Rattus norvegicus: one gene and its partners. The protein of the gene in region 3 interacts with the protein of the main gene of each other region in a biochemical or structural test. Links are inferred from orthologs where the notes say so. Each region holds a gene or a part of one and is shown on either strand. Other genes may lie near its edges. The genes, in order: Usp8, Arrb1 and Stam.

What was found.
Region 1: the proteins of Stam (region 3) and Usp8 form a complex in vitro, tested with the Homo sapiens proteins (2 studies listed by BioGRID). The link is inferred for Rattus norvegicus from reciprocal best matches to the Homo sapiens genes STAM and USP8.
Region 2: the proteins of Stam (region 3) and Arrb1 form a complex in vitro, tested with the Homo sapiens proteins (2 studies listed by BioGRID). The link is inferred for Rattus norvegicus from reciprocal best matches to the Homo sapiens genes STAM and ARRB1.

What each region holds. Positions count from the first base shown.
Region 1 is NC_086021.1:134,453,379-134,457,026, reverse strand, and holds part of Usp8 (ubiquitin carboxyl-terminal hydrolase 8), read right to left. Parts: intron 2,032-3,648; coding exon 1,819-2,031; intron 1,047-1,818; coding exon of another isoform or gene 884-1,046; exon of another isoform or gene 847-883; intron 841-846; coding exon 630-840; intron 1-629. UniProt on the Homo sapiens protein: Hydrolase that can remove conjugated ubiquitin from proteins and therefore plays an important regulatory role at the level of protein turnover by preventing degradation. Converts both 'Lys-48' an 'Lys-63'-linked ubiquitin chains.
Region 2 is NC_086019.1:163,248,693-163,253,103, reverse strand, and holds the start of Arrb1 (beta-arrestin-1), read right to left. Parts: upstream 2,889-4,411; 5' UTR 2,857-2,888; coding exon 2,837-2,856; intron 1-2,836. UniProt on the Homo sapiens protein: Functions in regulating agonist-mediated G-protein coupled receptor (GPCR) signaling by mediating both receptor desensitization and resensitization processes.
Region 3 is NC_086035.1:82,070,267-82,073,914, forward strand, and holds part of Stam (signal transducing adapter molecule 1), read left to right. Parts: intron 1-2,963; coding exon 2,964-3,216; 3' UTR 3,217-3,648. UniProt on the Homo sapiens protein: Involved in intracellular signal transduction mediated by cytokines and growth factors. Upon IL-2 and GM-CSL stimulation, it plays a role in signaling leading to DNA synthesis and MYC induction. May also play a role in T-cell development.

The DNA of each region.
Region 1 (3,648 bases), on a different chromosome or scaffold from region 3:
GTCTGTACAGTGTACTTATAGATAATAAACAAACAAAGATGTTAGACTATACTTAATAAAACCATGACTTGGCTTTCATAAGCAGAGTCACAAGAGCACCTCCAATAGCTATTTTACTATCTGTTAACTGTGTAATACTTCTTATTAGTACTTGAGTGAATAACCACACTACTTTTCAAATCCATGGTGCACATTCCTAATCTGAGAGTCTCAAACATGGCATGCTGCCACAAGTGGAAAATTGTACTCCATGAGAAAAAAAAAATCATTAAAAAATAGGTATTCAAAAATACTGTAAAAATTCACTTCAGGACATGTATATATGGAAAATAAAAATAATTTTATGTTGAGTCTAAGATTCCAGTCCCAACATGTCTCATTCTATTAAATAAATGTAAACATTCAATTTTATTCTGGGGAGCTCAGCAGATTCCACACAGTACACACATTTGCACACAGGACCAGCACACAGAACACACACACACACACACACACACACACGCGCGCGCGCGCACGGCACAGGCCACACTTACTACAGTCACTGTATCTGAGTAAGGAACACTGGTGAGCAGGCATGTAAACTGCTGTGAAGACAGAAGTGAGTGAAGCTGCGGAGACCCCACTCTTACCTTATTTAGATCCTCGTGGAGGCCATCCATGAGGAAAAGCAGCAGCTCTTGTGAATCTTGCTGGCTGGATCCTGCAAACTGGTCATTAATCTTACCAATGGTGACTTTAAAGTCTTTTGGACTGATGTATCTATACTGTCCTGTCCACAGTGCCTTCATGATTATACCAAATTCTTCTGCCACTTCACCTTTATGCCCCAACAAATTTGACCTGTGCGAGTAAAGTTACGGAAAATAAAGGAACAAAACTTAAGTTATAGTGGGGTCTTGATGTCAGCACAAAACCACACACAACACACAAAGGAATCACTCACCTGCAGGCTTGAACCAAACACATCTGAACCTGACTTTGCTGTGGTCCTCCAACTCATTTTCTTATCCTGGTTGCAAACCCTGCTCCTCACGCACATCAACAGGCTGCAGTCAAAGACGGAAGCTGTAACCCTGACAGTGTGTCTGCCATTTTCTTTGTCCTTATGACCAGAAGTGGGGTAACTACCCCGTATTCTGACAGATGAAGATAAGTTCTCTTTTGCTAATTCCCCTCCTCTGAAGCTGAGTAACAACTGAATACGTCCCTTCAAAATTTGGGTATTGCACATAGACTAGGAACAAGCCCTTAAGGGGCTGAAGAGATGGCTCCGTGTTAGTTAGGAGGAATTGTTTCTCTTGGAGAATACCCAAGTTTGATTCCTGGCACCCAGATGGTGGCTCACGATTGTCCATAACTCCAGCTCTGGGGATCTGATACTCTCTCTGGAGCCCTCAAGCTGCTATCCTCACATATGTACATACTCCTAAAGACACAATGAAAAAACCAAACTGAAAAGGACCTGACGAGGCCATGCCTTGCAAGGCTTTGGGGTTGGGTCTGCTGAAAAGGACCCAATGAACACTCAATCTCTACAACTATGGAAAAGAAGCTCAGCAGGTAAAGTGTTCGCCATTCGAGCTGACAACACGACATAATCCTGGAGTCCACACTGGAGCACTAACTCCTGCAAGCTGCCCTCTGACCTTCACGTGTCTGCTCTAGTTTGTACAGAGCCACACTTAAGATACACACATTTTTAAAAATCAAAATTCTTTTATATAAAACAAAAGTGATTACCTATCTCGCATGCTACAACAAGAGTAAGACTAAACATCCTTCGCACTGGTGTACTGCAGCAGGGCTAAGTCCCCTTACCTGTTGATATCGTCCTGGTAGCAGTTTCGGTTGAAATAATCAGCCAAATGTGGAGCATTGCACAGGCACTGTAATATTGAGTTCATGTAACAAGTATTTCCCAAATTACGAAGTCCAGTAAGAGCTGGTCCAGATCCTCCAAAAACGGGATTGAGGTTCCGAATCTGAGAAGCAGAAAGCCTCGAGATCTCAGCTTTAGGGTAACACGGCGGCCTAAGGAAGAAGAACAAGATGCCTTATGCAGAGCATCTCACGCTGAGTGCACACTGAAGATGCAGACAGCTGGAGCAGCTGTACCACATCAAATCTTGTCCACAATCCACAGGCTAAACTGCTGTGTTCTCTAAGACATTTAGCAACTAGGTTAACTGACTGTGACCCAGGATCCTCCCATGAAACGCATGCCTACCACCTCTCCTATGAGGTCTTGGCTCTAGAGGTGGCCTGAGACAGGTCCTCTAGCTTCCACAGACTCAGCTACTGCCCAATGGGAAAAGCCTCTTTCAAACTTCTCCAAGTGGCCCAGAGACATTAGCATCATGAAATACTCTAACTCAACCAGAATGTTAGAGAATTAAATATGATAAAATCATGTATAATTATAAATTATACATTGACTCTAAAAGGGTAATATGTAGTGTTCTCTCATATGTAGATCTCAGCTGCTAAATATCAAATAGTGTATTTAAGTGGCATTAGGTTGAGTAGAAAGAAACCCATCTATCAGGAAAAAAAAATAAAAAAATAAAAAAATGAGGGGGGAGAGGGAGGGAAAGAACATGAGACATGGATAGATTCCTAGAGGCAGAAGGGAGCGGGGCTGGGAGTTTGGAGTGGGGTGGGGTGTGTACAGAGATTTTTCTTGTAACATTTCCTCAACACTATATATGCACAGCATTTATACTGTAGTAGGTATTAAATATTAAAAAAAATAAAGAACCAGATATTTATACCCTTGCAAATAAAATATACATAAATAAAAGAATATACTAACCATAGAATGGGTCTCAAATGAGGCAAAGGTTATCTGGGTACTACTACCTAACTATGCCTGTAATATTCCACCAGGTCTCAGAGGATGGCCACATTTAAATGAACTAAAATTTAAAGTCATGGGGGACAGCATGGAGGCATCTGCTGGGCACGTCTGGGCTAAAGGTTCCCTGACCAGTGAACCAGTGAACACTCTCTTCCTGATCCCCACTAAGTGTTCCCTACCTCTGGAGGGGAATATAAAAAACAGCACACATCCCAGTTTTCTCTACGTGCTCTTTCTCTGTTCATGTATCTTTTACAGAAGATACATAAGCTGTTAATGAGACAGCTTCAAAACCCTGCCTAATTAATGAGCGTTAATAACATTATAAGGATTTCTAATATCTGAACTGTACTAATTCCAAAAACTCTTTCAAATAGGTCTCTCCCTCGTAAGGTGAATTCTTAGGGAGGGGACCGATTACTTCCTTGGGATGTGCTAGAAAAGATAAATTGAAAACCCTTAGTAATTAACAAATGATATATAATACATGAAAAGAACACCCCATCAGTTATTTATATATACTCCAAACTCCAATATCCAAGGCCCCTGCAGTAAGGATATTCCATGCCTGAGATAAAATGCTACAGTGTCTGTGTTAACTTGTGTACCCCTTCCTGTTTCCTTTAAACCACTTCTGATTATTAATTCCTGATACGATGTAAATAGCTGTCGTACTGTGTTAAAAACAACGGCAAGGACAAACACCTATTCGTATTTAGTACTTCTGTAAGTCCCCCCACCCCAATATTTCTGACCCCAGCCCAGAGGCCAAGGCCACTTGAATTTCCACT
Region 2 (4,411 bases), on a different chromosome or scaffold from region 3:
GCTGATCCTGGCAATGGAAGAAAAATCCTGTTGCCTTAGCCTGACCTTCCCAGGGCTGGGGATGACTGGCCTGTGTTCCTCTCGCAGGCCCCACCCCCAGGCTTCTCTTCCCACCTCCCGGTCCTTGTACATTCTGCACCCTGGGCTGGCAGGGCACTGGTTGCAGTTCCACTGCTCAGCCTCCTCAAGCTTCTAGGTCAATCTCAGCTGCTTTGACTACCCAGAACAGTTTCGGGTCACATCCAGCTCAGCTCTGGTGTGGATGCCTCTTCCACCTCCCAAAGTGATTGTGTCGTGTACCACCATCACCTGGGAATGGATAGTCTGGGGATTCAGCTCTGGGAACTCCTGCCCCAGGCTACAAAGAAGCCACTCTTTCATGACCTGTGCTCATTGGACCCCTGTTGGTGCTAGCTTGCTCTGCCCTGGGCCTCCTCTCAACCCAGGGGTTTCTGCAAGGGCAGTGACAGTTTTGATTAACGTTCATTATCACTTCCTCCAACCGACAGGAATAGATGTGATGACTCCAGAGCCTAAGAGTATTGAGTATTTGCAATGTCCCTTCCAGGTCTCAAAGCAAAATCTCATGGCCAATGTAACACAATGGAGAAAGCTTCTTACCTTTCATATCCAGACAGATCTAGAAAGAGAAAGGCAGAATTCATGGCTCTAGAGGGGCCCAGGGAGGGGAGGCAAACACGGACAGGTGGAGTTTGTGTAGCTAGTCTGTATTTCCTGGCATAGGCAACTCCTACTCCTATGTCCAGTGAGCTCAGTAAGCTTTTGGGAGCCATGAAAACCAAAGTTCTAATGGCTCCAATGTACAGATGGGAATACTGGGTCTGCCCTTGAGTTAGAAGCACAGCAGGGGAGTCAAGGACAAAGCTGTGGCCTCAGGATTCTCCAACAGGTGTCTGGCAGCCAGAGTGTCCTCCTCCTATGACAATTCAAGGTATCAGGAATCTGTGACACTTCTCCCCTAGTTACAGAGAGGCCCAGCATGGCTGAGTCACCCTGGTCACCAGCAGCACTGGAGAACAAAGGAGAAGTCAGTGGCTGCTGACTCCCTGCCGTGCCTCACAGGGAGCAAAGCTCAACCTTACAGTTCCAGAGAGTCTCAAAGCGGGGAGGGGGATGGGTGTGGCTGAAGAGAGATGCATCCAAGCATCTTTCCTCCAAGGACTGAAGCCTGGGTCACGATGCTGACCAGCCAGCTGCATTGGCCCTCAAGGTGAATGCAAACACCTCATGGCTGTCCGCAGTCTCCCAAAGCTGTGCCTCTGCACCAAGTGAGTCCCTTGCTAGTCTTTACACCCAGGGCCCCAAGGAGAGCCACAAGATACAGTGGGCTGTGGCCTCTGCCCCTTCCTGACCTTCAGCAAGGCAAGTGACCTTTCTCACCCTTCAGTTCCTCTTTGGGGAAACCAGAATAGGAAAATTAACCTCCAGGAAGGGCCATCAATAGGGAGGCTGGTGGGAGGTAGTTTCTAAACATGAGGAATCTGAGTTAGCACTATGCCTCAATTTCTACTCCTGGGAAATGGGAATAACCTCTGTAGCCCCTTTCACTCACTGCTGAAAGGCTCTGGGGTCAGTGGGCAAAAAACCAGTTTGTTTAAGGGCCCCAACATGTGACTGCAGGGATGCTTCCTTTCTGATCATCTCTCATCACCGAGGCTATGCCTAGTATACAACAGGGGCTTAATAAATAAATATCAGAGGAAAGGAAGTGAAGGCAGAGAGAAGAACACAAACATAAGAGTAATAAGGAAAGCAGTGATAAAAAGCAGGTGCAGGAAGACTAGAGGAGGGGCCAGGAAGGGCGGCAAGGAGACTCTCAAGGGCCAGGAAGGTAAACTCTAAGTTGACTAGGGCTGGTCTAGGTCATAAGGATTGACCCCAAGAGCTTCCCTGCCCCTCCCTAGCCTTCCTACTTTGACCTAGTTTCCATTTCGAGGGCCTAACCTTTCCTTTCAAGGCAGGATCTACAAAAACAGTTTCCCTCACCACCACCATCCCCAGCTAGATGTAGCCCCTAGCTATGTGCTTTGGAGGTCAGAGGGGAAGGAAAGCATGTGAATGGGACCTGCCTTCCAGGTCTCAAAGTCTCCCACTCTGACCTGTGTTTCTGGTCTGGCCATGGGGAGTCAGAAGTGAAGTGTATCCACTGCCCTAGAGATGTCAGGCCCTGCAGGCATTTTCTGCTGTGCATGTGCGTGATTGGCCTTGATGTGTCACTAAGACCTGTGGCTGCATCGTGTCATTTCAGAGAGGGTTGACAGACTGCAAGCACTAGCCAGACCGTGCTTTGCAGCATCCAGGTGACAGGATACGTATGTTGGTGTATGCCCAGATGTGCGTGGCAACACGAGGTGTGTTAGAGCTGGTGCGTGTTCCAGTGGGACCTGTGTATGCTAACAGTACTGACAGCAGGAATGTGTTGGCAGACTAGTGTGTGCGTGAGAGACCGCGTGTGACGTTGTCGTGTCACAAATGCGAAGTGTGGCAGCGACTGTCAGTGTGTGCCAGCAGAAGGGTGTTCATGTGTTTATGAGTGTGTGTGTCGTGTGTCAGCCTGCCCCAGAACGTCCTCGAGTCTACCGACCAGCCAGGGCTGGTTGTGTGAGCTCGTCTCGGCCAGGAGCCTTGAACCAAGTGGGGTGGCCCATCCTGGGTGCCTCCGTCCTTACACATGGTTCTGGCCAGAGACCACACAAGAGACTTGGGCGGACAACAGAGTGCCAGATCCCGGGTGACGCTGATTGGAACCTCCGCCCGTGCCCTCGCCCAGGTCGTCCCCACGCGCACGCGGGACAGGGCGGCCACCCGCACTCACCGTGTCCCTTTGTCGCCCATGGTCCGCGGCGGCCGCAGGGAGGTCCGCGGCGTCAGCGTCCAGGCTGGAAAATCCCCGGCCGCCAGGAGAAGCGCGGGCCAGCCCGCTCCCGGCTACCCCGCTCCGCCTCCTCCGCTGTCGCCGCCGCCGCCCCCGCCCGGGTCCCCGCCCGTCGCTCGAGCAGCACAGCGCCCCGGCCGCCGCCAGGGGCGTGGAGCGTGCGGGTGTGAGCGCGCGTGTGTGGCTCCGTGCGCCGCTCTGCGTGTGCGCGCCCAGAGAGTGAGGGCTGGGTGGCCGGCCGCGGCTGGTCCACGAGAGTGCGTGCACGCAAGCGCGTGCCAGTGCTGGTGCGTGTGCACGGCTGTGCGCGCGAGCCTGTCGGGAGAAGGGGGGAGGGGTAGAGAGAGAGATTGTGTGTGTGTGTATGTGTGTGTGTGTGTGTGTGTGCAGAGATAGCACGTCTTTGTGCAGTTGTGCGTGTGTGCTCACAATCGTGGGTGCAAGCGCGCTCTCCCGCGCAAGCCAGGACTGGCCTTTGTGTCTGCGGATAGATGCAAGCGGAAAATCCGCAGACTCCAAGGCCCAGCCTCAGCGGCGCCCCTGTGTGTGAACACAGCAAAAGATTCCAAAAGCCTAGCCAGGCCTTCGCCCTTTGCTCCACCCTCCCCGCCCCCGCCCTTCTGGAGAGATACCACCCAACGGCACAGCGGGGACAGGAAGAAGGGGTGGGGGCGGGCAGCGGACTGCAATGCTGGAGAGCAGATGAGAGTGGAAAGAGGAGGGGAGGGGCAGGCAGAAAGAGGAAGCTGTGAGAACAGAAGATAAAGCAGGGACCAAGAGCCAACTAGCTGGTGACCGGAGCATCCAGCATCATTGCTAGCACCCAGGCCTAGTTTACTTGCCTGCAATGACTCTAGACATCAGCCATCTCAGCCCATTCCAGATCTACTGGCTGGGTCCTAAGACCAGCAGATGCCCTGTTCTATAGGTGAAGGAATTCACTTGTTCTTGCCGGCAGGCACCTGCACACAGTGGTGTCCAGCAGAGCTTACTGTCTGCAGCTTTCTTGCTATCCTTGAAATCTTGACTTTCCCCAAGTTTCCTACCCCTGTGGAAGTAGCAGGTGTGCAGTGGGAGGGTGGAGTCCAGAGGCTAAGGAGGGGTAGGAAAGGGTTCTGGATTTTAATCCATTTTCTCCTGGAAGGGATCTTAAGGGGTTCCTTCTTGCTTTGCAGGAAGTGGGAGAATGTAAGGTCTTTCTCAGCCGCTTGCTGCTGGGGTTTGACTAATTGGCACTGATAGGTCCCTAATATCGGAGTATTAACGATAGGAAAGGAAGCTATCATTTACTCTGATGCAATTGCGGGTCTGGAAACATCTCCTGTAATTATGTTCAGAAGAGTTACCTATGCTGTTTACATAGAGTGTGCTGTTTATAGAGTTGGTAATAATATCCCAGGATAACGACTATAATTATGTCCAGATTGGGGAGGGGTGGGTAGAGGCTAATGGATAGGCAGGGTGGTCCACATCTGGGCAATGGTAAGAGCTAAGTGAAAATGGATTACGGTCTGT
Region 3 (3,648 bases):
CATTCATTCTTCGGTCCTCCTCACCAGTGTCTCTGTGGTGTTTCTTTCTGATCCTATCATCTACTTTAACCCCTCAGTAACTGTACTAATGGCGTACAAAAATATCTACCCTTTTCCCCTGACTTGGGAAGTACTTACCGATGTCAGTTCCTCCCTTCTCTTAGTGAGACCTTTCTTGACTAGCCCATGTCAAATAGAAAAGCTCATAGTCTAAAGAAGCTGCTTTTGTCCATGTCCACCCCCCAGCCTCACATTTTCACAGTGCTAGGATCAAGCCTAGAACCTTGTATATGAAGCCAGTGTTCTACCGCCATTTTATATCTCATTTCTCATTAAATCCTTAAACATCTGTTCATCAAACCAAATCAGTGATAATAGATCTGTAAGTTATGGTGGCTTCATCCTTTCTCTCTTCTCAAAATACTGTCCCCACGGTAGGTAGCTTAGAACATTACCTGAGTACTGGCTCTTGAGTGAGCGCCTTCCGTATGTCCTGGGGACAGATGTCTGCAAAGTGCTTACTTCTAGAATTAAAGCTGTGTGAAGAGGAAGAGAAAACAGCCTCTCATGCATTCCCTGTTGCTTCTTTACTCCAGAGGTGTCAGCCCTAAAACCATGCGCAAACAAAGAACAAAAGCGCACTCTTGAGTAGGTTGTATTTATGTGTTTGTGCCCACACACACATGTATATAACAATAGTCAGAGAAAAGGAAGCTATCAACTTGAGAGAGAGGTCCGTAGGAGGGGTTGGTGGGAGGAAAGAGGGACAGAGATATAATTTTATTTTAATTAAAGTGTATAAAAATTTTTAAAAAGACAAAAAGGAAATAACCTTCCAGGGCTGGGACAACCTGCCAGTGAATTGGTGAAAATCTGCATGGCCTTGAATTACAGCCGAAAGCTCAGATACATAGCACTCCTGACTCACACCAGGCCTTGGTTTTCCTTCGTTTTCCTTTCCAGATCCTCCATTTCCTCTGCCAGCACTTGCCTTATTTCTTCTCCTGAGCAGACACTTGTTTTTATACATGTACAAATATATATCAATTCTCAGATTACCTCGGAGTCTCTGATACGCCTTCAAGGGATTGAAAGCCGTCGCCTCACCTCTGTCCTAATGTAGACTTTGGAATTGTGGGCACTGGCGCTTTCTCATTAGTCACTGAGCTCCTGCTGTAAGTCATGTCCTAAGAGATGGCTGTAAAAAGGGGACAGAAACTCCGTCCTGGCTCTTGAAACTGCTGTAGTTTTATAGGCATAGACACAGGAAGGGAGCCACCCAAGGAAACTGGTAGGAGCACACGTCGAATCTGCTGGTACCAGGAGCAATAGAGACGGACAGCAGGGGTGTCCTAGAGAAAATGACGTCGCGCCAAGAACTAACTAGAGAACAGAGAGGAGACCAGCCAAGAAGGCCAGACATTTAAGGACACACCTCACAGAACGTATGGAAGGGACAGGTGTTCCTTAGAGGTGACGTCAGTGCTCCACTGCATGTCAGGCTGGGCACATTAGACACCGGCGCCAACCAGAACAGTTAGTTACAGTTCCAGGTAGGGGTAGGTGTGGCCAGGGTGGGGGTGTGTAGGATGTCCTTAGCCTAAACCTTTAGGGAGATAACAAAGGCAGCCATGCTTTCATTCACTAGTCCATTGAGATGATTCTGTCAGGATGTGCCGACGTCCAGACCCTCTGCTCAAACCCCAGGCCCACCTCTCTTACAGTGAGTCTCTTTCCTGTTCGTTTTTGGTGCGTGTTCCTGGGTCAGGCCCTTGTTAGGCTGGGTCAGGCTTTCTTTTCTGGTTACTGCTCCTCACGTGCCATTGTCGGGTACACCTTTATGTTCCTGACGTCAGAGAGTGGAGGACTCGCATGCACTGCTCTGCTCGCTCTCTTCAGTCACTTTCTGAGGACTTCATTCAGCCCCGTGTTTCTGAATGAGGACTCTTAGTGTCTATTTCCACTCCTCTCTCCCCTGGGACACCAGGTTGCATGTGTTTTCTTACGTGTCTTTTGGACATCTCACTTGAGGTGTCCAAAACTGTTGGTTCTGCCTGCCCATGCCTCTCTTGTTCCAGTCAGCTGTAGTCCCAAGTGTAGTTTTCTTCTTTTAGTAAGTGGTCATTCCAGTTATTTTTATCAGTTACAAAACCAGGCATACTAAACTACTTGGTCCATTATCAAATTTCAATGGCTCTTTTTTCAAAGTAGGGTGTGACCCTTCTCTCCTGTCTCCACTATGGCTCTGGGCACTTGCCAGCTCTCACATCTGTTCCTGTTCCCATGTGAGCCTGTCAAAAATATAAGTCCTATCTCATTACCTCTCTCCTCAGACACCACCCAGTGCTTGTTTCACTTGACTCACATGCATAACCCTGTGGCTTCTAAGGAACTTGTTGGACCTTCTGTAGCCCTCCTAACAGCTCCTTTATCTCTTATACCACATGTGCTTTCTCGGCACGTTGTATGAATGCCTTGGCCTCCTTTTTGTTCTTTGAACATGGCATTACAAAACCTCAAAGGCTTCTTTTTTTTTTTTTTTTTTTTGTAGCCTACTGTGTGCCTTTCCTAGACTGTTGATGGAGTTCCTCTGCTTTCTCAAGACCTTCCCTTGCATGAAGCCTTGTCTGAAAGGCCTCCCTCTAACACCCTACATAAGCGAGAATCTGGTTACCAGACTTCTGGTATTTGCCGATCCCTGTTTTTCTTTACTGAGATTTTAAGCATTGGCATCCTTTAAATTTATTAGCTATCTTTTTTTTCTCCCACCAGAATGTAAGCTCTGTAATGATAGCTACTCATTTTCTTTCTTGATAGCATCCCAGTGCTTAAATAACAGTGTTTGATACTTTGCACTTATTTAATAAATTGTCAGATGAACTGTTTAATAATTTTCCTGTTCATCTCTGAATTGGATGCATAATTCATTATTTAGCTAATCCAGTGTTTTCCTCCCTCCACAGTGCAATGGTTAGTTCTGTTCAAGGAAATTCGTATCCCAGCCAGGCTTCAATATACAGTCCTGCTGCTGCTGCTGCCGCTGTCGCTGTCACTGCAGTGCCTGTGCCTGCTGATGTCACCATCTACCAGAATCCAGGACCTAACATGTCCCAGGTGCCAAACTATACCTTAACGTCATCGACCCTGCCTCACACAGGAGGCAGCCAACAGCCACCTCAGCCACAGCAAGCATATTCTCAGAAGGCTCTGCTATAGGACTTGATGCTGCTCTGGGTGGCCTATTTCTGCTGAGTGCCACTGACAGTGTTAGGAAATTCATTAACATCCTAAGATTTGTTTTCCTCAGCTTGTGAGAGTCTATCTTGGTCAAGTTCAAATACTCAAGAAGGTAGAACTGCTTCAGTTTGCACTGACTTTTTAGAGGAATGCTCCTCCCCCGAGGAATGAAACTACTTACAACATTTATTTCCTTTCATGATATGAAGAATTGTTACAAGATTATTGTCTTGTAAAATTACCTGGTCTGCAGCACTCAAATGATCAGAAACTGCTGTGGCAAATGTTATGTACATATATTGACATGTAACTTCCTTAGCGACCTTTGAATTACAGTGGTGGTCATGTGAATATATTTAACACTGTTAAATTAATTTACATTGTTTTATTTTAATCATGAACAACTATGTT